4 linked regions of the Arabidopsis thaliana genome follow. The protein of the gene in region 4 binds, or shares a complex with, the protein of the main gene of each other region. Each region holds a gene or a part of one and is shown on either strand. Other genes may lie near its edges. The genes, in order: ARPC1A, ARPC1B, ARP2 and arpc2b.

Evidence for each region.
Region 1: arpc2b (region 4) and ARPC1A share a complex: the UniProt entries of both Arabidopsis thaliana proteins name them as parts of the arp2/3 complex.
Region 2: arpc2b (region 4) and ARPC1B share a complex: the UniProt entries of both Arabidopsis thaliana proteins name them as parts of the arp2/3 complex.
Region 3: arpc2b (region 4) and ARP2 share a complex: the UniProt entries of both Arabidopsis thaliana proteins name them as parts of the arp2/3 complex.

Annotation. Positions count from the first base shown.
Region 1 is NC_003071.7:13,151,246-13,157,532, reverse strand, and holds ARPC1A (actin-related protein C1A), read right to left. Parts: upstream 4,745-6,287; 5' UTR 4,636-4,744; intron 4,361-4,635; exon of another isoform or gene 4,295-4,360; 5' UTR 4,087-4,294; coding exon 4,017-4,086; intron 3,647-4,016; coding exon 3,558-3,646; intron 3,363-3,557; coding exon 3,286-3,362; intron 3,183-3,285; coding exon 3,088-3,182; intron 2,972-3,087; coding exon 2,902-2,971; intron 2,644-2,901; coding exon 2,574-2,643; intron 2,339-2,573; coding exon 2,265-2,338; coding exon of another isoform or gene 2,246-2,264; intron 2,178-2,245; coding exon 2,135-2,177; intron 2,038-2,134; coding exon of another isoform or gene 2,014-2,037; coding exon 1,932-2,013; intron 1,797-1,931; coding exon 1,708-1,796; intron 1,614-1,707; coding exon 1,528-1,613; intron 1,371-1,527; coding exon 1,307-1,370; intron 1,108-1,306; coding exon 1,007-1,107; intron 885-1,006; coding exon 826-884; intron 732-825; coding exon 664-731; 3' UTR 501-663; downstream 1-500. Other genes in the region: COQ3 (coenzyme Q 3), read left to right, coding at 5-124; TBL43 (TRICHOME BIREFRINGENCE-LIKE 43), read right to left, coding at 5,116-5,419, 5,584-5,742, 5,831-6,006, 6,097-6,274. UniProt on the Arabidopsis thaliana protein: Functions as a component of the Arp2/3 complex which is involved in regulation of actin polymerization and together with an activating nucleation-promoting factor (NPF) mediates the formation of branched actin networks.
Region 2 is NC_003071.7:13,345,443-13,351,884, forward strand, and holds ARPC1B (actin-related protein C1B), read right to left. Parts: upstream 4,558-6,442; 5' UTR 4,346-4,557; coding exon 4,276-4,345; intron 3,910-4,275; coding exon 3,821-3,909; intron 3,626-3,820; coding exon 3,549-3,625; intron 3,446-3,548; coding exon 3,351-3,445; intron 3,235-3,350; coding exon 3,165-3,234; intron 2,907-3,164; coding exon 2,837-2,906; intron 2,602-2,836; coding exon 2,528-2,601; intron 2,441-2,527; coding exon 2,398-2,440; intron 2,269-2,397; coding exon 2,187-2,268; intron 2,057-2,186; coding exon 1,968-2,056; intron 1,871-1,967; coding exon 1,785-1,870; intron 1,616-1,784; coding exon 1,552-1,615; intron 1,319-1,551; coding exon 1,218-1,318; intron 1,105-1,217; coding exon 1,046-1,104; intron 939-1,045; coding exon of another isoform or gene 871-938; exon of another isoform or gene 606-870; coding exon 535-605; downstream 1-534. Other genes in the region: INH3 (inhibitor-3), read left to right, coding at 5,467-5,790. UniProt on the Arabidopsis thaliana protein: Functions as a component of the Arp2/3 complex which is involved in regulation of actin polymerization and together with an activating nucleation-promoting factor (NPF) mediates the formation of branched actin networks.
Region 3 is NC_003074.8:9,951,955-9,957,820, forward strand, and holds ARP2 (actin related protein 2), read right to left. Parts: upstream 4,029-5,866; 5' UTR 3,831-4,028; coding exon 3,789-3,830; intron 3,500-3,788; coding exon 3,389-3,499; intron 3,271-3,388; coding exon 3,136-3,270; intron 3,048-3,135; coding exon 2,976-3,047; intron 2,897-2,975; coding exon 2,818-2,896; intron 2,697-2,817; coding exon 2,647-2,696; intron 2,566-2,646; coding exon 2,462-2,565; intron 2,374-2,461; coding exon 2,305-2,373; intron 2,207-2,304; coding exon 2,143-2,206; intron 1,739-2,142; coding exon 1,670-1,738; intron 1,575-1,669; coding exon 1,491-1,574; intron 1,395-1,490; coding exon 1,336-1,394; intron 1,251-1,335; coding exon 1,184-1,250; intron 1,096-1,183; coding exon 1,012-1,095; intron 914-1,011; coding exon 833-913; 3' UTR 525-832; downstream 1-524. Other genes in the region: TCP20 (TEOSINTE BRANCHED 1, cycloidea, PCF (TCP)-domain family protein 20), read right to left, coding at 5,856-5,866. UniProt on the Arabidopsis thaliana protein: Functions as ATP-binding component of the Arp2/3 complex which is involved in regulation of actin polymerization and together with an activating nucleation-promoting factor (NPF) mediates the formation of branched actin networks.
Region 4 is NC_003071.7:14,146,857-14,151,587, forward strand, and holds arpc2b (actin-related protein C2B), read right to left. Parts: upstream 3,047-4,731; 5' UTR 2,914-3,046; coding exon 2,855-2,913; intron 2,630-2,854; coding exon 2,563-2,629; intron 2,465-2,562; coding exon 2,257-2,464; intron 2,176-2,256; coding exon 2,006-2,175; intron 1,876-2,005; coding exon 1,798-1,875; intron 1,673-1,797; coding exon 1,540-1,672; intron 1,445-1,539; coding exon 1,353-1,444; intron 1,266-1,352; coding exon 1,209-1,265; coding exon of another isoform or gene 1,149-1,208; exon of another isoform or gene 1,108-1,148; coding exon 1,065-1,107; coding exon of another isoform or gene 1,039-1,064; exon of another isoform or gene 966-1,038; coding exon 748-965; 3' UTR 526-747; downstream 1-525. UniProt on the Arabidopsis thaliana protein: Functions as actin-binding component of the Arp2/3 complex which is involved in regulation of actin polymerization and together with an activating nucleation-promoting factor (NPF) mediates the formation of branched actin networks.

The sequences.
Region 1 (6,287 bases), 1.0 Mb from region 4:
GCAGGTGAAAGAGATAGCTGGATTTGTGTACAACCCAATAACAGGAAGATGGTTATTGTCAGATGATATTAGTGTCAACTATATTGCTTATGGGACGAAAAGGAAGGATCTTGGAGACATATAATCAATCGTTCCAAGTCGTGTTTCTCTGCATATCTGCTTCTGAGTTACAACTCTAGTTCATGCTTTAAAAACTAGGTACTCTGGAAGTTGCTTAGGACGAGGACAGTAGTTGTTTTGCAATAAGTGAGAAACATTCAAAGAATATTTGGTCTTCTGAATCACACTTCTGTCATCTGATAGAAGATTAATGTTTGTCGATATCTCGTTTTGTGGTAAATATGGCATAGTTCGGAGGACCAAAGCTTTTTGCTTCTTCTCAAGAACTTGAAAATTTTGCGAAATTGTTGTGTTTGGTTCAATATGGACTCCTTTCGACACAAAGCTGATATTACTATATATAAAAGGTATTACAAGATGCTAACTAAATGAATCAAATCATGAAGCCAAGAAACTTATTAATACCTGCCCTTACACAAACCAAGAAAATAAGGCCTTTTATTGTGGCAGTTTACAAAGTGAAACAATTACGAAATTGAAAAAGTAGTTTAAACTTAAGTAAAACCTTGCTTGTGAGCCAGAATTGTTTTATTTGTGTGTTTATTAAAACTGATTGCCAAGTTCTTGTTCCATGTTCTCCAGATCCCATATGGCAACTTTGCCATCCAATCCTATAAATAACAAACCGTTATGCGAGTAAATGAAACTGCTGGTTTGTTTTTTGAGAACTGAATCGGCTAATTCCATTTTGTATTAGTGACTGACCTGAAGTGCTGAATCGCATTACTTTAGGACTCCCTGCTTTGCTCAGAGACACAATGGAACTGCAATTTTCAGGTAACCTTCCATGTCAGGTTCTTAATAGACAATCGAAGTAAAAGAGTTAATGAGGCAGGTTTCTGGCAAATGATTTGGTAAAAGAAAAGTTAGCTTAAGAAATAATTACTTTATGCAGTTATCATGAACACCTCCACGTGATTCAGAAGCATCGTTGGCTGTTGTGGACTTTGATTGACTGCCGTAGAATTTTCCAAATGCTTCAGAAAACTGAAAAGATAACATAATGAAAAAAAGGATTAGACAAAACAGTACAAATAATGCAAGTGGAAAGTTCAAAGTAGTAAACCCAAGGAGAAAAAAGGAGCAACTACACTAACCCGAAAGATTACTACTATCTTAGAGGAACACTTCAGGAATAAGCTAAGTTCACTCATATTTTATTCAAGAAAGAAAACATGGTATGTACCTGCGAACTGTAACTGGAATTTGAAGATGCTGCTTTCTTCTCTCCGATGTATCTGATAAAGCTCCTGCAGACCATAAACAAAAACTTGTAAACAAGGCAATCATCGGTGTGTGGATGATTTCAGAAATAACTATCCGGCCTGAGAGCTAAGGAGAATTAATGAATTGAAGTATTTGATTGTCTGGAAATAGCTAAGAAAGAGAAAACTAAGAGTTACACACCATATTCCAGTATCATCTGAGGCAAATACCATCGGGTTGCTGTCATATCCCACGCCTATCACCATTTTCTCAGAAATAAACAGGACCTGAAGATAGCAAGTTCCCGATAATATATCAATTCAGGATATAACACATGAGAACACTTTCTCAAAAGAAAAAAAAGAGTGGATGCTGACCCACATCACGAAGAGGCAAATCTCGAAATGCAACGCTTTGGGCTAAAGGAGAAGGACCAACATCATCAACAAAGTAAATCATGGAGCTATGACCTATAAACAAGATTGCATGAACAAGGGAAGTGAGACGGAGTGTAGTAAAAATTATGCAACCAAGGTGAAGTTCCATTTTTATAATTCCAGTAGAGCTCAATGGACAAACATCTTAAGTTTTAAGGATATTCTGACCTACATAAGCTAAGGTGTTTCCACTTGGAGACCATTTAACACCAAATGCCCAAGAATATGAGAGATCAAGCTGAAGAATTTGCTGTTTCAACAGAAAAAAAGCTCCCTAACATTAGATAAGAGAGTGAGTAGAGGGAACATATATATGGCAGAAGTGGTATACTATTTACTAAAAGAAGGAAAGCCAGCCAAACGAGTCAAACCTCCCCAAATTTCGTTTCCGCTGGTGAGCCTGCTTTTGAATCCCTGTATCAGCCCATTGAAAGACAAATAAGAAACGGCCTCATGTTTGAAAAAATGTTTTAAAAGTAGACGTTCAAGTAATGAGCATACTTTGTGTCAACTCCTTTGATAAATGTTGAAAATACCCGACATTTTCCATCTGTTGATGTCGTTGCCAGAAGAACCTAATGCATAACAGACAATCAGAGAGCACAGCAACATAAAAAAGCATACGAGAAAAAATGATTTAGAAGATTAACTAGTTTGTGGAGATTGATATTCTATTTTTAGGGATCATGTACTCTATACTCAATCTGGTGGCCAACTTATAGAATATTTTTGGTAGAGAATGCTTTTACAGAGAGCCTGCTTATTATTTTAACTACATGAACTACAAGAGGTTCTGTTGATTGCACGTACATTATTAGGATGCCAAGCAACAGATGTGACTGAAGATTCGTGCCTTTTCCGGATTAGCTTACTGACCCACCTGAAAACAGTAAAGCCAAGCAATGTCAGATACTAAAAGTTTACATGAAAGTATCTTTCTAAAATCTCTAAACAATACACAGTTATGCATGCCAAGATAATAAAAAATATGATTGGTGCTAATATCATGCCAGTACATAAGACAAAATAATATCATTACATAGACCAACAACACCATTCGTAGCAAAGAAGTCAGGAAACTTGCCAAAGAAAAAATCAAGGACTAATAATGAGAATTAGGAGCAGAAGAAGAAAATACCAGTTATTCTCTTGCTCATAATAGCAAATACAAACAGTTTTAGCACCACTTCCAACAGCAAACTTGTTCTCTATGGGTATTGAGCAAAAAGATGAGAACATAGATTAGAAGCTGTAGAAATTATAGGAAAATTACACTACATATTACGGAAATTAAGCTTAAGAACCAGAAAAATTAAACATTTACCTTTGGGGCTCCATTGGACACAAAGTGCAGCACGATTTAGTCTAAGAATAACGAGAGTTGGTACCCATTCAGCTCCTTCCAGGCTCCAGACGTACCTTCAAGAAGCATTCTAAACTCAGTTCAACGAACGAAAAAAAGTGAAGGACTAAGATTAACAGGTTTGGAGTTTCTCAAAGTATATCAAAGGTAGCAACTTACGAGTTCCTGTCATGAGAAACAGTGACGATTTTGTTGGACTTTGAGCTCCAATCTATTCCAGAAACAATTTGGTCATGCTGCAACAAGACGAACAATAATCATGAAGTTGTTGTAAGGGAGATTCAAGCTGTCTATACAACACTTATCAGCGACAAGTGATCAGTGAAATGAGAATACATAAATATACGAAAGTAAGGAATTCCCAAGAAGAGAAAGCAAAAGGAATGCAAGTTCAAAAGTTACAGAAAGAGAGGGAGAGAGAAAGGTTTCACCTTTTGGAGGACATGTAACCTCTCCCAGTGGTCTTGAGACAATGATTTATAGATATGAACTTCAGTGTTGTTAGGACAGAGAGCAACCACTACCAAGAAAAACGAAACAAATGTCAAAGCACATAAATGGTTACAGGCTTTAGTACAGACGTTAAATCATTTGTAACAATAGATTTGGTTCATCTGTTTAGAAAAGCGCATCTACTAATGTACAATACTAGATACCAAGTGTTCCTAACAAGAGACACCGACAAACAGACATATAAAACATTGACTCGAAGAAATTTGATTACCAAGATGTATAAGAATAACACAAGTCAATTTAGTTGTATCATCTATCTATCTTCCCAGCCAAACTAACTATAGATAGATCCTCCTCATTTATAATTCTAAAACGGAAAAAACGACGGAAGAGAGAAAGAAGAGAATCACAAAATCAGAGAGGTGTTAGAAACATACTGGAGAGATCAGGACTCCAAGCATGGCAAGTGATTGACTCAGCGAAACGATGAACATCCACCACTGCCATGAGTGATCCTTGTTGTCCCAAATGTGTTGTAATGAAGACAGTCTTTTCTCTCAAATTGACATCCACAGATTCCTAAAACGGAGTCGTACGGTGAATAGATGGACAGATAATTATGATGAAACGCCGATGAGATCCGGAGGTGGACGACGACACAGTCGCAAACGTGAAGTGAAAGAGACAGATGTTTTTTTTTTTTTTTTTTTTTTTACTAAAGCCCCAATTTTTATGACCAGATCAATTTCAGTTTTACTTGGACCTTTATTTTTGGGCAAACCAGCATAATAATAAGGAAAAAATCGAATTATTTTTATTTTTAAATCTATAGTTCTGTAATCTGCATTAGTTTTGTTTTTGTTTTTTCCGATAAAAGGCTTAAGTTCTGCATTAGTTAAATACATTAATGTAGATAAATGGATTCGATCCAATTCATCCATGTAAAAATAGAACTATATCTCACTATGAGTCTATGAGTATAGAGTAACTTATAAAGTAATCTGAAATTTTTAAAAAAATATTGATTAGTAACTTTTTTCTAAAGTAATGTTTTACTATTAGTTTTTTCGTTTTTTTTTTTGTATAAGCTTTTGAATCATTGACCCAAGTCAAGGGGCTTGCACCACTATATTAGATTTTGATTTAGCATAATCCAAAAATAACTTAACCCCAAATCATTGTACAAAGTTATTATATAAGCTACGCTAGTTATCCCCTCTCGTGGAATAAGGTTTACTTCTAGTTTTGGTCTTCCTCTAATCTCTCACTTAGAGATTCAGGACACATATTTAGTCCATTCAATTATAACGAGATCATAAGGTTATATTCTTGCAAATTCTTCTCTTATAAATTGTTCGACCAGTCAAAGAATCTTGTTCTCATTTAAACATTTTGGTTGACAAATGAATTTGAAATTCTAAATAAACATGTTTATGACATAAAATAAATGTGTAAAACAACACAAACATGGTTAGGTCATAAATAAATGTATAAATCATATAATGAATTTAGTTTTGTGTCAAAACCATCAAAATTTTAAGAATGAAACAGCTCAGAATACAAGAGCTGGTTCCAGCTATCCGGGACTCCAGAGAGACACCAATGGCTACAATCCGCCATTCTGTGACCGCCAAAACCGTATACTGAAGGATGTCCATCTTTCCTTAGCTGAGACATCAATGTCACATCCATTAACCGCGCCTGATTCTTCATCGTCTTTATCACTTTCGCCACCACCATCTCGGCTGCGTGCGGCCCAGCCAGGTAACTCGATCCCATAATCGGCTTTGTTTCTCCTATGCAACTGCCTTTGCCACCTTGTTTCGACCATTCCCTTGCCCTGTAACATTATGTACCATTATTGTTAACAATATCAACATGAAATTATTTGGTTCTAACGAAAACTTATAGACTAATCCAACATATATCAATCGTGTTAAGTTTTTATCGTTGATTTAATGTATGTATCGAATAAAAAAGAAGTTATATAGAGGTAGAACTTACCGGCCATGGTCCGGAGAAATACCTTGGAAGAAGACTTTGGTTTTGGAAGGATCAATATTTTGATCAATCCACTTAGCCCAAGTCATCATTGCTTTCTCATATGCCACTAACCGGTCCATGTCTTTAACCGTTACATTCCCGGACATAATTGCGTCCCATCTGCAACCCCAAATGATTACATTAGTTAGATACTAATAAGTCCATAGTCCATAGCAAAATATGTTTGACGACATAAAGATGATTTTACGGTTGTTTTCGGTCTGTGTGAAGCCACCAATGCCAAGAGTTGAAGACCAAAACGTCTGCGGTTTTCCACAACGAACCACTCGAGATTGAGTCAAGCTTCATCACTCGCTTCGGTGGGGCTCCGACTATATCCACAAGAAACGCGTTTCTTGAAAACATAATCGAAGAATTGTAAGCCTGCATTGCATGCATTTAAATACGAACCGAACCAGAATTATTAAACCGGATCAATACCGGAACGAGTTTGATAAAGTTAGAAAACGTTACGGGGAATGAGAAGACGGAGAGGCCAGAAGGGGAACGTGTGGATGTGGAATTGGCTTTTGGTGCGGCGTTGTGGAGCAAACACGTGAGAGATTGCCATTGGTTTAGACTCAGTGAATCTCCTACGAACATCAGTTTCTTCCCTTTCATTATCCTTCCCAGAAAATCTAAGCCGTTGAATCTGCACCATTCAT
Region 2 (6,442 bases), 800 kb from region 4:
TGACACCCAATGGAGAAAAATTTACCTATATAGTCTGCAATCTCTAAGACGTTGTGCTTTTTCTGAAAGCTACGAAGATCACAATATGCTTGTAAACAAATGCAAAATACGAGTTGTTCCCCGCAGATGCTAGATCAAGATAGAATCTGTGAATTAAGGCAGCTGGAATACTTTCACTTAGTTCAGTTTGGGCGGGAATCAAGAGTTAAGAGTTCTCTGAAACAATGCTATATACTTCATGAACGTGGTCCAGAAATTGAGTGAAAACATTTGCACGTACTTGGAATTTTCCCGATATGTGTTCTTGGTTTCACATTTGGTCTGTGTATAAAGTCACCTTGCAGCTTCCTAAAGGACATACCAGTGGTCAAATTTTCTAACCCCTGAAGACCGTACGTACGTGCTTCAGTTGATGTAAGCCATGTTTTGATTACACAGATATTAAGCGGAGCTTTTGATTCCCCGATGATTATGTCAGATGATACTAGTGTCAGCTTCATTCTGGATTGTATATATCATCACAGATGAAAAGATTCATTTCAAGTTTGTTGATATATAGCATTCATTTCTGTGGTTGTTGTCCGGAGAACTCATTCGACACAAAGCTGAAAATGTTATTATGTTAATATACAAGATACCAACTCGTATAATGAATCAAATGATAGAGCATTCAAGATATTACAAAGATCCAGAGACAAGGGCATAGCTCAAAACTTAATAACACCTGCCCTTACACAAACCAGGAAAACATGGCCTTTATTATGCAGTTTACCAAGTGTGACAATTACGAAATTGGAAAAAGGTGAAAAGGCTAGTCGAAACAAAATCTGATATACAAATTAAGTAAGCTGACTACTGATCCAGATTTTATTAAAACTGATTGCCAAGTTCTTGTTGCATGTTCTCTAGATCCCATATGGCTATTTTGCCATCCAATCCTATAAATAATAAACCGAAAATGCGAGCTAATGAAACCTGTCATTTTGTATGAATTGAATCGGGTGATTCCATGAAGGGTTATATAAATTTAAATTTAGTGACTGACCTGAAGTGCTGAATCGCATAACTTTAGGACTCCCTCCTTTGCCCAGAGGCACAATGGAACTGCAGGTAAACTTCTACGTCAGCTCTTAACAGATAATCAAGTAAAAGAGCTAAAGAGACAGTTTTTTGGCAAATGATTTGGTACAAGCCAAGTTAGATAAAGAAACAATTACGTTATGCTGTTATCATGAACGCCTCCACGTGAATCAGAAGCATCGTTGGCTGTTGTAGACTTTGATTGACTACCGTAGAATTTTCCAAACGCTTCGGAAAACTGAAAAATAACATAATGAACAGATGTGTCAGACACAACACAACAAAATAATGCAAGTGGAAAGTCGTATCGTAAATCCAAGAAAAAAAGAAAGAGAGGAACTACACTAACCCCCAAAGATTACGATCTTTAGAGGAACAACTCAGGGATAAGTTAAAGTTCAGTCATATTTTTTTCACTAAAAGGCTAAAACCAGACATATTGCAATATAAGAAAGAAGATTTGGTATGTACCTGCGAACTGTAACTGGAACCTGAAGATGCCGCTTTCTTCTCTCCAATGTATCTTATGAAGCTCCTACAGACCAAATACAAAAACTTGTAAACGAAGCAATTATTGGTAGTGGTTCGTTTCAGAACCAACAATCCGGCCTGTGATCTAAGAGGAATAAAAGAACTGAAAATTTGATAGTATGCAAACCCCTAAGAAAGAGAATTTTAAGCAGATATTTCTGAGAGTTACACACCATATTCCAGTATCATCTGCAGCAAATACCATCGGGTTGCTGTCATATCCAACCCCTATCACCATTTTCTCAGAAATAAACAGGACCTGAAATAGCAATTTCCCCATAATATATCAATTCAGGACATAACACACCGGAGAAACCAGGTTCTCAAAAGTAAAATAAAGGTGGATGCTGACCCACATCACGAAGAGGCAAATCTCGGAATGCAACGCTTTGGGCTAAAGGAGAAGGGCCAACATCATCAACAAAGTAAATCATGGAGCTATGACCTATACATGATTACATAAACACGCAAAGTATGACAGATGGTAGTAAAAACTGCAACCAAGTTGAAGTTCCATTGTATTATTTCAGTAGAGCGCAATGGAAAAACATCCCAAGTCTGAAGGATTTTCTGACCTACATATGCTAAGGTGTTTCCACTTGGAGACCATTTAACACCAAATGCCCAAGAATATGAGAGATCAAGCTGAAGAATTTGCTGTTTCAACAAAGCCACAGTAGAAAAAAAAACTCCCTAACATTAGATGAGAGAGTAGACGGAACATATATATGGCACAAGAATTATAATATTTACTAAAAGAAGGAAAGCCAGCCAAACTAGTCGAACCTCCCCAAATTTCGTTTCCGCTGGTGAGCCTGCTTTTGAATCCCTGTATCAGCCCATTGAAAGAAAAATAAGAAATGGCCTCATGTTTGAAAAAATGTCTTAAAAGTAGACGTTCAAGTAATGAGCATACTTTGTGTCAACTCCTTTGATGAATGTTGAAAATACCCGACATTTTCCATCTGTTGATGTCGTTGCCAGAAGAACCTAATGCATAACAGACAATCAGAGAGCACAGCAACATAAAAAAGCATACGAGAAAAAATGATTTAGAAGATTAACTAGTTTGTGGAGATTGATATTCTATTTTTAGGGATCATGTACTCTATACTCAATCTGGTGGCCAACTTATAGAATATTTTTGGTAGAGAAAGCTTTTACAGAGAGCCTGCTTAATATTTTGGCTACATGAACTACAAGAGGTTCTGTTGATTGCACGTACATTATTAGGATGCCAAGCAACAGATGTGACTGAAGATTCGTGCCTTTTCCGGATTAGCTTACTGACCCACCTGCAAACAGTAAAGCCAAGCAATGTCAGATACTAAAAGTTTACATGAAAGTATCTTTCTAAAATCTCTAAACAATACACAGTTATGCATGCCAAGATAATAAAAAATATGATTGGTGCTAATATCATGCCAGTACATAAGACAAGATAATATCATTACATAGACCAACAACACCATTCGTAGCAAAGAAGTCAGGAAACTTGCCAAAGAAAAAATCAAGGACTAATAATGAGAATTAGGAGCAGAAGAAGAAAATACCAGTTATTCTCTTGCTCATAATAGCAAATACAAACAGTTTTAGCACCACTTCCAACAGCAAACTTGTTCTCTATGGGTATTGAGCAAAAAGATGAGAACATAGATTAGAAGCTGTAGAAATTATAGGAAAATTACATGATATATTACGGAAATTAAGCTTAAGAACCAGAAAAATTAAACATTTACCTTTGGGGCTCCATTGGACACAAAGTGCAGCACGATTTAGTCTAAGAATAACGAGAGTTGGTACCCATTCAGCTCCTTCCAGGCTCCAGACGTACCTTCAAGAAGCATTCTAAACTCAGTTCAACGAACGAAAAAAAGTGAAGGACTAAGATTAACAGGTTTGGAGTTTCTCAAAGTATATCAAAGGTAGCAACTTACGAGTTCCTGTCATGAGAAACAGTGACGATTTTGTTGGACTTTGAGCTCCAATCTATTCCAGAAACAATTTGGTCATGCTGCAACAAGACGAACAATAATCATGAAGTTGTTGTAAGGGAGATTCAAGCTGTCTATACAACACTTATCAGCGACAAGTGATCAGTGAAATGAGAATACATAAATATACGAAAGTAAGGAATTCCCAAGAAGAGAAAGCAAAAGGAGTGCAAGTTCAAAAGTTACAGAAAGAGAGGGAGAGAGAAAGGTTTCACCTTTTGGAGGACATGTAACCTCTCCCAGTGGTCTTGAGACAATGATTTATAGATATGAACTTCAGTGTTGTTAGGACAGAGAGCAACCACTACCAAGAAAAACGAAACAAATGTCAAAGCACATAAATGGTTACAGGCTTTAGTACAGACGTTAAATCATTTGTAACAATAGATTTGGTTCATCTGTTTAGAAAAGCGCATCTACTAATGTACAATACTAGATACCAAGTGCTCCTAACAAGAGACACCGACAAACAGACATATAAAACATTGACTCGAAAATTCTCAATTATAGGGATTTAGAAGAAACTTGATTACCAAGATGTATAAGAATAACACAAGTCAATTCAGAAAAACTAACTAAAGATCCTCCTCATTTATAATTCTAAAAACAGAAAAACGACGGAAGAGAGAAAGAAGAGAATCACAAAATCAGAGAGGTGTTAGAAACATACTGGAGAGATCAGGACTCCAAGCATGGCAAGTGATTGACTCAGCGAAACGATGAACATCCACCACTGCCATGAGTGATCCTTGTTGTCCCAAATGTGTTGTAATGAAGACAGTCTTTTCTCTCAAATTGACATCTACAGATTTCTAAAACGGAGTCGTACGGTGAATAGATGGACAGATAATTATGATGAAACGCCGATGAGATCCGGAGCTTGACGACGACACAGTCGCAAACGTGAAGTGAAAGTGTAAGTGAAAGAGACGGATGTTTTTGTTTGTGTGTTTTATTTTACTCTTATAGCCCAATTTTTTATGACCAGATCATTTTCTATTTTCCTTGGCCCTGTCTTAGGGGCGGCCCAGCATAATAATAAGCAAAAAAAAAAATAAGATCTAAATTCTGCATTAGTTAAATACTTAAATATACATAATTGGATTTAATCAAATCCATCCATGTAAAAATCTGAACTAAACCTCACTATGAGTATGAGTAACTTATAAAGTCATTCTATATATTCAGTTTTCGAATCCCAAATAAGTTAACATTATAGTTTTCTCAAAATTAATTACACTGTATTAGTCTTTTTTCTAATATATATATTAACATTTCTTAGAAAATAAATATAAAATTAGACCGAATTTTTTTTTTTTTTTTTTTTTTGGTTGGAGCGACTAAATTTCTCCATCGGCGAAAGAAAAAAAAAACAAAACGAAAAAAAAAAAAAGTTTCTCGATTCAACAAGCGTCCCTTCCTCCTTGGGGATTCACAGGTTTGCTTCTTCGTCGATTTGATTCTTTGAATCTTTTTTTCCCCTAGGTTTAGGTTTCGCTATTGTTTCTACGATCGAAACTAGGTCTCTCTATTGTTTACTGCAACATTTGATTCTCAATTTCATATCACCGATTTGTGTTTATCCCCTGGAATTAGGAATGATTAGGGTTCAGATCTCGTAGGCAATGAATTTAGGGTTAGAGAAATAGCATCTGTTTGGTTTGTTTACCTAAAGAATGAACCCTAAAGGCTTTGTTCTGTTTTACGATTTTGTTTAAGGTCTTAGTTTTTATCTTTAGCTCTTGTCATTCTTAAGCATGTTGTTAGTTGTTACTATTAAGAACTTTTATTCTCTGTTCTTGTATTTTGGTACCTTATGAAATTAGTCTTTTATGCAGATTTTGAAAGCTAATCTTCAGCTATGAGCACAGCAACAAGGCCTTCCTCTTCAGCAACAACTTCTGTCATATTAGAAAACCCTGTTTCTCAATCACAACCTACTGAAAGATTAGTGCTTCGGTTGAACCGGAAGAAGAAGAAAGTTTCATGGAAAGATGGGACTGTAGACAATGAGTTTATGCAGAAGAAGAGTTCGAAGAAGTGTTGCATCTTTCATAAACAGAAGCCTTTTGATGAGGATGACAGTGAAGAAGAAGATGATAACAACCATCACTGTGATCATAACCATGAACACTCCGAATCTGGTGAGGCATCTTCTTCTAATGATTCTAAAGCCGTTGACTAATCAATCAGGTTTTTTCACGTTACTATATATTGAAGCTTTTTAATAGATCATGGAAGAACACACATTTGTTGTTTTGGTCTCTTCTCCTATCTAACCCTGGTTGGGCGTTATGTATATGTACAAGTAATTTGCAGATTCATTGCAATGTTAACTCCTTCATACTCTGTTGAAAATGATGTGAATCATTGAAGATTGCTAATTAGTTAAAGAATTACAAGGATGTTATATTTTCTTTCTACATTTGAATATGCTTTTGCTTTTGCTTTTGCGACTGCATACTATTTCTCAAAATGCAATGTTCGGGTTTCATCAATTAAAAGATGAGCACTATATTATTTTCCCAGTAGAATAGGATTTGCAAAGGGTAAGTATAATGTTTGGGTTTCATTGGCCGATGTTGGGATCAATGCAGCTTCTGGATCAGATGGGTTGTGATTAGGATCGATAAAAAAATATGACCGATATGGCAGAACGATGTAGCTACTGGTCGGATGGTTTGGTTGGCTAGATCGGTGGCTCTATGACCATGATGGTTGATCGATGCGGGTTATTTAGTTGGCTCCAGGGATATTGGATCTGCATTTGACTGATGGGCACGGCCAATGTGGCTTATGAGGGTTGTTTGAGGAGTCCTAGATCAGTCATTGGTGAG
Region 3 (5,866 bases), on a different chromosome or scaffold from region 4:
ATGGCGCCGTTTTCCGATAATGTCTCCAAAACTCGCCGGAGAAGTTTGAGCAGTTTGGAAATAATCTTCGTCGTGGTTAGATTTGGATGAACCACCGGGTGATTTCTCTATAACTTTATGGGCCTATATCTCTTTATTGGGCCAACGCTCATAATGTTTTATATGTCGTTGAGGTAGTTTAACAGTCACCAACACCAACGTTTCTGACACGGTGTTGCCGTTATTGGGCCAAAGCCCATATTAAGACCTCAAAAAGTTTTTACAGTTTTTTATTTTGGGATTGTAAATCAGTTTTTTTTGTTTCTAGTTAATTTAAAAGTTTTCAAATCCTTTTTTACTCATGGCAGGTTAGGTAATCATTTTGTCTTTGATCTAGCTTGAAGCTGCTGTACTTAGACTAGCTGCAGAACATGCAGTAGAAGGAAGCTGGTTCCATCAATTCAGAGTTGTGGCAATCTTTTGGGTTTTAACAGAAAACAATAGGGATCTACCTTGTGTGGCAAGAAATAGGGTTCCTTTTCAAAATTACAAATAATCTTTCACTGTTTTGACTCTGTTTGCTTACTCAAGAATTAAGATATATGCATTTCGTCTCTTCTCGACCTTTTGGCTTTGGTTATTACACAATATATTAGTCTCAACATTATTAGTTAATACACGTTTTTCTGTATATCCCACCAATCACATGTCGAATTTTGGATCCCTAACTGCAACCAATTGTACTCAAACTTTGAAACCTAAAATACTGAATTCACAAACGGAATTAAATCATCCTGACGGTAGTAAAAAAAAGGGGTACAAGTACAAGTATGAGTTCTGCGTTTGAAAGTTATTAAGCTTGGCTCATTTTATTCAAACAATTAATTCCTTCTTCCATATAGTCCTCTCTATTGATCCAGAACTCTGGTGCGTCCTGCAACATCGAATCCAAATTCTCTTAACATCATAACACAGACTAAAATTTCATGCTTTCGTGTTAAAAGAGAGAATAGCATTGAACTTTTCTCTTACCTTCATGATTCCTGCAAGAACAGCACCTCCGAGGTATACCATGTGTTTCCTTCTCGGTGGATCTTCGATCCGCAATCTGAGTTTCTGATTGATAAGAAAAACGAAGATAAATGTTAAAAACTGAGCTAATGACTGACAGTGATCATGGCATTATCAGAATCATCTTTTTTACCTTCAAGCCATCTTTGTTTCCTTTTAGAACTGTGTCGAGATACCGATCCTGTATTTCTTTCTCAAGACTGAAACAAACAGAGAATAAAAGACAATGAAACATAAAACAATGGAACTTCTTGCTGGGTTATGATGAAGAAAAAATATACGAACCGGCTAGGTAATCCTGGGTACATGGTGCTACCTCCGCTTAAAACTATGTGTTGGTAGAGCTGTGAAAAAAGAGCAAAGGGTTTAAGACAGATAAATGATTAGTTTTGTTGGATCTTTCTTTTGAAATACCAAGCAAGCGTAAGAGTCACACGAACCATCATGCGGTTATCAATATCCATTTCTTGAATACATCGGAAAACCATGTCTGCCATTCCATCACCTTCAACATCAATGAGTTCCTGAAAAAATATTTGGTTGTGATCAGCCTCGAGATTCTTGGAGGGTTGAAACTATTCCAAAAGAGAAATTAGCAGAGGACGCGATGAAGGTTTACCGGAGTAAAAAGCGCTTCAGGTGCTTGGAATCTTTCAGTGCCTACTTTGATAACCCTCCCATCTGGAAGCTGATCACAGTTCAAAAACACAACGGGTTAGTACTCTGGAAAAAAAATAATTTGGTGATAATATCAGCTTTAGAGGCTGCAACTGGCACAAGTATGAAACTTTATCGACTATCGGATGAAAAATCCCAAACACAGCGCCCAAGAACAGAGAAACGATGTCATGAAAAGAAAAGATGATAATATCATTCTTTCATTACCAAAAAGAACAAAGGAATGATGGCACGAATCTTTAAAGTTCTCTACAGGCTCAAGTTCGCCAAGAATCTGCTATCTATTTAGTTCTGATCATGAGTTTGGATTCCTATTAGCTTAACGTACACTAGTTTCTGTTTCTTGCCTCTATTTGCCATCGAAACCTTGAAAATTCACACACCTGACAGGTTCATACCAGGAGAGAGACTTACAGTATAATTCTTAACAAGGATAGTTGTCTCAAGGCCAAGCTGAGATTCTCTCTTGTAATCATAACTGCAAAAAAAGACAAAACAAATTGTGTTTATTTCCTATTCTAGTAATGCATTACTACACAGATATTAGAGGAAAGCTGAGAAGAGGTCTTTGCATGCCTTATATAGCAGAGCTTCTCTTTAATTTCCCTAACCGTCTCAAAGTCAGCTGTTTTGTTCATCGCATATCTGTTGAACAAACAGTCTTTTAGTTTAGCTAATTTAAAACATCTCAACATCATTAAAATGAATGTGAGTCTATGAATCAGTTTCTCACCCTCGTCGAGATAGTAGATCAACGAGATATGCTGTTATGTGTCTGCCAGCAACATTCATTCTTTTAGTAAGATGAGGGAACGAGTAGCCGTCAACCACCGGAACCTAAGATGTGAGGCGAAGACGGTTAACTTCTCTATTATAAGCAATATATGATCTAAAAAATTACAGAGGTTTATAGCTTACCACATGAGTAACACCATCACCAGAATCAATAACCAAACCAGTTAGCAAACCTGAAACCAAGAGTTCAACACATGAAGAAAAATATCAGGGAAGCACACATAAATGCTATTTACAGGTGACTATCTAAACACACGAAAGAAAATCTAAACCTTCAATAGTCTCCATAAGCACCTTGAGCATAGAGAGTCAAAACGGCTTGGATTTGAATGAAAACGCCAGCGAAATTGTATTTCTCAAACATTGTCTCAATCTGTTTTATAACATAAAATAAATCACTGCTCCAACAACCATCAAAGCAACTCTTAACCAAAGACTTGATAATATCTTACCATTTTTTCACGATTCTTGGACGGATTAAGAGGTGGATCCGTGAGCAATATCTTACAGTCAGATGGATTGATCTGTTAATAACAAAAAGGGTTTAAGAGTAAGTCAAGACACATGGAACCGAGACAAAAATGGCAAGAAGAAGCAGGAGAAGAAACTTACTTTCAATTCGTTATAGAAAGCATGATCCCAAACATGTTCCATATCATCCCAATTCTGCACAATACCATTGTGGACAGGATAATTTATATCCAATTGATGCCGGAGCTCAGAGCAAGTCTCCCCAACAACTATATCCTAAAATGAAACAAAACCAAAACGTATATGAATCCGAATTACGCATATCAGCTCAGTCAAAACTCAAAAGGCTAACAATGATCTGGTTTTGCTTATTTAAAGTCACATATCTACAAACCTTGACTTGTTGCTCCATGAGTGATTCTTCATACCGAAGCAATGGCCTTCCCACGACACAGGGGAAAACAGACGTTGGGAAATTCTCTCCAGCAAATCCACATTTTACATACTGAAAAATTTAATAAGAGGCTCACAATTTGTTCCCATCACAAGAAACTCAAAACTTAAGCAACCCATTATGAGATTTCTCATGTATTAGTTTTGATTTCAATAGAAACACGATCTTACACTATGCTAAGACATGAAAGTTTTCAAATTTTGCAACTTTAAGACAACTAGATCCTAAACAAACTCAAAAGTGAGATTTTTAACGAAACCCAGATAGGAATGGAATGATTGATCAGATTCAACTAAAGTTCGGAGTCTGAAACAAGAGATATCAGAGAGAAGAAGCTTACACCGGTGCCGTTGTCGCAAACGACGACGTTTTTGTTGTCCATCTTCTCCGATTTCTATAGAGACTACAGATTTTTATCGAAGTACAAAAATTTCGATTTCTTCGATTCGATCTCTCAGGGAACAAAAGAAAAAACCTGTCTTTGAATCGAAGCGAAGAATCACTCTTCTCTACTTGTTTGGTCGCGATCGAGAAAACATATTTGCTCTTCGACAAACAAAAAGCAGCTGTTTCCTCGTTTCTTTATAAGAATGCGCGTCGTTTACTCTACGTGAAAACGTCACGTAGTGCAAACGGTCAATACATAGAAAAAATTATTAAATACGTTACCCCTTTTCTCGAATTATTGAGATGGAGTTAACTTGGTTGTGGGTATTGATGGGCTATCTCAGGCCCATATTAGGTCAAACAGATAATTCTGTTTACTTGTATAACAATCTTCTAGATGATCTAAACTAAGAATTAGTAAATGATCATCATGCAATCCCTTGATCAGAGATTTCAATCACTATTAGGGTTATGTTACGAGAAAGATGTTACTAGGGTTTTGGTACGAAGTTGGGATATCAATCTTCTTCTAGGTTTTTTTGTTGTCTCTATGTTGTCTCAATACTAAAATTTATTCTACATAACATGTTGTAAATTAAGTTCCTGTCACAACATGTTATGTATCAGTCACCAATATAGTAAAAATAAGATAAGACTTTTACAGTTTCACACACACAAGTCCAATGACTTGTTCGATGTAAAATCAGCTTTCATGTTTTCACTTTTATATAGGTTAATTAGGACACACACTGTCTCTCATGCTTACTGGAACATTGCTAAGCTGCTTTATTTAGTTCTGGTAAGAACAAAACTGCATGTCTTAGACCTCAAAGTAACCACGCGTTTCATCTTCACTTCTGTATATTGAAATGGAAGAATTCGTAGACAAGTCAAGCTCCTTGCCCAATGTGTCGAAGAGAATGGAAATTAAAAGAGTAAGCAACTTAAGTCACGCTCTCATCATGAGGGAGGCTTTGGAATGGATCTATTGGAGTTGTATTTGGACCATAGTGTTGAGTTAGATCATTGCTCAAAAGGGAAAGAGAGAGCTTTGTGAATGTTTTTGAATTTTCTTCACTTGTTTTGATTGGTTGGACAAATCATAGAGATCAAGCAACTTTTTGACTCGTTAACCTCTCTCTCTCTCTCTCTCTTAGTCTCTTTCCTTAGTTCCGTCAAATTCAAGTCAAAATGAGTAAAATGATATAAACTTTTTGACTCGTTGAACAATTTATACTTATCTTTGAAAAAGCTTGCAAGGCAAAGAGTAAATGCAATACCAGCTTATTTGGTTCCCAACTGCGAAGGGTTTGTACCTAGTTCAAAACCTTCCCACAGTTAACGGCACACTCAGGGCAATAACATGAATGTAAGTAAGAGTTAAAGAATACAACGTTACCATCATTGTGAAATCCATTGCAGCTCAAAGCCACTGAATCAGAACATGCAGCGAAGTGTTTTACACTCGACTCTAAACGAAAGTCTTTAACTCATTCAGAGAGATCGAACGAAAGAGAACAATCTTTGGAGATGCAATAGAAGAATACTGAGCAAAAGAGAGCTATAAATCTTCATTCTACAAATATGTGATGGAAGACAAGTATACATTACCATTGTTGTACTATCTGAAAAAAGCCGGTTTCTTGATATTCAAAAGCAACAAAACTCAGAACAAGTAAAAACAAGCCTCTCTGCAACTTAAAGACTCCAAACAAAAAAATCTCTGGCTGTGTGTATTCAACAAACTCCACCTGCAAGTTCAAACAACAACTGCCAAAAAATTGTCACAAACACTCGGAAAAAAAGGTTTGAAGATTCCACTCTCTTGTATCATCATCCTCAAATTGAACTCACCTTGTGTTTTTGCAGAGGTTTCAATAAGTATAGATTATCACTCTCACTCAGTATATAACCTTTTCTTTTTCTTCTCCATGGTGGTACAAATTACAACAATATTATCACAAAACAAAAGCCAAAAGCTTTTTCAAATCCAGAAGATACAAAAAAAAACCCAATCCTTTTAACGACCTG
Region 4 (4,731 bases):
CTAATTCTAATTAGCACATATATACTTAACTATGAGTATCAACAAACCGACCGGTTGAATACATATTAATTATGTAGACATGTAGTGATGATCAATTGATCATATACCCTAATTTGAACTTTTTTGCTCGTTATGATTTAGGAGCTAACGTTGCCGACGTGCTCAATGTGTGAAGTTTTAGGATTGAAATTTATTGATTACAAAAGAAAAAAAAAGGACGAGTACTGTGACCACAATATGTGGTCACATGCACGTGGCTGGAACCATTTGCTGATTTGCGTGTGCGGTGGAAATTAAAAAGCGGGATTAAGAGATACCAATAGATTGATGATTTCGTATAAGTGATAAGCAAAAATAATAAAATCATAACTTAACTAAAGTATTTAAATTACAAAACCTACAAACATTTATGTATTACCATTTTTTGGCCGTATCTCAGTGTGTTGATTGGTTACATTTTTTTTTTTATCACATGATGATTGTATACATTGAAAAGTAAAAAGAGTGAATGGTACTTGTACAAAGCTCTTACGTAACATGCTGCATTCAATGCCAACTTTTGATTAGGTTTATTTTTGGTTTACCAAATTATATCCATAAGTTTATCTGATAACGTTTTTTTTTGTTGTCAAGATATTCATTAACGTATAATATTGCTCCCCGAATTCAATTTTAAAGCATGTTGACAAAGAAAAAAAACAACAACACCGAGCCTCTTTCTTGAGACTTTCCAAGTTAAGTGATTACTTAGTCCAATTTTGTGTATGATTTATCTGATGGTTTCGAAGAGAATTTGGGGAGAGATATCCACCGCTGATTGAATCGAAACCGAGCACAACCGTTGATTTTGATCCGGAACTTGCTTATCTTCACTCTCCTTGTCATCTCCTTGCATCTTTGTTTCATCATCAATTTACCTTTTGGTACCTTCACAAACTCCTTTACGTATTTGCATCTTCCGTTTTCTATATAGAAATTAGAGAATGGAAAAGAAAAAATGATAATATAACTTTTTTATATATACAAACCTAAGTAAGGTTAAAGGTAACAAAAAAAAAGGATACCATTTTGAGCAGCTTCTTCTTCTAGGCTTGTGTTATTTAGCAGCTACGTATATAATGTAAATTTACAAACATACGTTATTTTGTTTATGAAATGTCAACTATTGTTGTAGATTCGTGTGTGTACGTAATATATGATAAAAATACCTTAACTAAAGTTTCCATTCTTTTTCTCATCCGTCTCTGTATGTACCCTCTCGAGCACTATTTAAACAATACGAGGTTGAAAATTTTCAATTACAAGAACACAAAATCTATTATATTTTATTTGAAAAACTAGAACTAATGTACCTTAATATGGTACTTAGCGCATGCGTAGAAATTTAGCAAGTTCCAAACCGTTTTGTCCAGTCTCTTTCCTTCAATGTGCCGTGAAGTAATATCTGCAATGAGAATTGTTTGAACTTTGACATTTAAGAATACTAATTAAAGATGTTGGATTAAGTTTTATAAACAGATAAAATGACACAAAACGTACCAAATGATACAAAACCAGAATTGGTGGTCAAGTCTTGAACCGGTTCTCCTCTAAGTTGGAGAGGAGGAATTGGCGACCAACTACATTGTGGGGCTTTTCCCATATCCTTTTGGCTTCCCACTTCAACTAGTTCCTTTTTATATGTATTGTCCAATTTGTTTTTAACATAAAAAGATAAAATTTGACAAAGGAAACCTTAGTGACGTCTCAATGCAAAACTCTAGTCCCACCCATTGATTGTATGCATTTTAGTTGTACCTGGAAGAATGACGTGGCGATGACCACATCCGAATTGTCTTTAAAATTCATCGGAAACACGGCCGTGATTTTTTCCGGCTGAAAAAACATTCAAAGACTTATTCTTATAGTTATAGTTATTCGATAAATTTTAGACGTTGGTCTCTATCCATTATTATATTTAGTTGGATGTAACTCAGATAAACGAATAAAACGCGGTAAAATAAACCTGTTTAAAGACGTAGAAAGGTTCACTTGGGTGATAAACAATCCTGATGGGCATGTTGTTGATCGATCGTGAATCATCTTGAAAATTTAAACTTCTCAGCATCTCTTTTAGTTGGCTACTTAATATTATCGCTTGTAGTTCAGAAATCCTTGTAATGATTTTAATCGCTTCTGCATTTGAATGAGTAAATATGAAAAAAACTTATAATAACTAAGTAGCGGGAAAAAGTACATTTCAATATTGAAGCTTACCTTTGCCACGTGGTATATTATCAAGGTTTAGGCCAAGGGTCAATTGAAACCCTAATCTTGGTGGATCAACGATGTCAATCACACCAACTCCAATATTCTTAATCACCTCATAAGTGTAACTTGAAATCTCCTTCAATGTCACTGCTCCTTGTGTCTCAAGCAACGTCGACGTCGATACATGCACAATATTTGGATCCGAAACCGAGTACTGCATGTCCAAATCATATATATTTCATTTTGTAAGAGCACATATAATCGAATAAGAAAGAAGATTATTATTAAAAAAAGGAAGCCCCAAAAATATACCTTGATATGGTATTCAATCGAACCAAACTCATGGAAATGTTGATCGACCTCAATAGGTTTTTCAGCACTGCCATGGATTCAATAACCTTATGTTATAATGTCTCACATTGGCATTGGATATGAACTTATTGCCAATTGATTTTTAGTTGGAAATTAATGTTTACTAACCATACTAACAAAATCATTTCAAATAATCTTGATTGAAGTTAAGCCGGAAAATATTGTTAGGTACGGAGGTAGCTAAACCGGGAATGAAATTGGACCAGAGAATAAAAGAGAGAGTGTGGCTTACCGGTATATCTTGAGGAGTGTTTCTTTCAACGTTGGAGAGGCTCTTTCGAGATATGCCATTCTTGAAACACCTCGGAAGAAACTTGAGGGTACAATAATTATAATTTACAATGTCATCAATCTATAACTTTTTATGTGTGCATTGCACATATATCTGTGTGAGAGCCTAATAAGTGCGCTTTTTCTTTCGTGCATTGGTGAATTGTTGGATGTTGAGTAAAATGTCAGTTTAAATTTGCAATCATTTTTTTATCTTTCTTTCTAAGAAAACATTTTAGCTATTGTATCTGCCACTGAAACGTAACATGTGGATGTACCTGTGAGCCGAATATAAACATAGGCCCGTTGATAAAGAGTTTTAATGCTTTCTCAGCCTTCGGACTAAAGCTGTGGGATCCGATGGACGCCGATTCGCACGGTCCCGTGATGACACAGAAGGAATTTGACAGAGGTAGAATGTGTTTTTTCCAAAAACTTAGATTACATCTAAAATATCGAAACCATGGAAAATGAGATTTTCATATATTTTTTCCCTGATCTTTATTCAACCTCAAAGGCAAAATTCTACTGTTAGAAACATAAATGATTGTTTTTCTATTGTCATTATGTGGACATTAATCTTATCATTAAAAAAGCAATACTTGGAATGTAATCCAAGCTAATCCAATGAACATTAAGCGTCGGTTTCACACAAATCGCAAGCTATTATTGACTTCACCAACATATAGTTATTAGTTTACCCCACATACTAAGTCACAATTCTTCTTTCTATTCAGTGTGGACGTGAGGTTTACTTAGGGTAAAAGAATGGTCATTGTAAAACCATATTATCTGACATGAATTTATAACTTATTTATTAATATTATTTTTTTATGAAACAGGAAAATAAAATCTTTTAGCAAAATGTGTCTTTGTTATGATGACCATCAATATATAAATTCATGTTTTATTTATATAGATTCATTTTGATAATACAACTTGTAAAATACCCTGATTTGTTATATAATTTAAAACTATAAAAGTAATCTTAGTCACATAAAACTATACATATGCTAAGATAACTAGACCTCTATCAATTTAATTTATTATCAATTATAAATCTAGAAGTCTATATTGAATTTGTCAACATGAAAAATTCAAAGCTTATTAAATTATAGAACACATAAAAGCTCAACAAGTTGTTTAATTAAAATATTGTTGTTTAACCAAAAAAACAAGTAATTAAAAAGTTGCAAGTTTGCTAATTAAAAATGATTAGTCAACGGCCGAAGTATAATCTCATAACGAGATTACCTACCGTGTGCCAAAACAAGTTTTAATCTCATCTACAAAAATATCTCAAGTTTGATCTTAGCCGTTAATTCCTTATTTAACGAATTTTCTTTTCGCACACTTTCTCGACACCCAATCAGAACTCAGCTGAGAGAAACGCGTCTCTCAGATTTCAATCCTTCACTTTCCCTTTTCTTTTTTTCTCGTTATCGGATCAGAACAAAATTTTGGGAAATTCGAGGTTTCCCTGGATTGTTGGATTCGATTATTGTTGAAATTCGATATGGGTGTTTGTTGTTTGTGTTAATCGTTGTCAAAGTTTTGATTTTTTTCCTCGAGAAAATTTGAGATTTTTTCGTTCGTCTAATCGAGAGAAAACGCAGCCATTTTACTACGTAAGTAATGCTTTTTCTCATTTCCAGTTTTCTGATTTCGTATCCTGATCTTGATTCATGATCCAAGCGTTGACTTTGATATATTAGAATTCACAAATTTTCAGATTTTGTGATTAGGGTTTGTTAGATTCATATTTATCTTTTGTTTTGTATCAGGATCAAATTCAAACCCCTGAATACTGAAGCGAAATTGAGGTTAATGGTTAGGGAG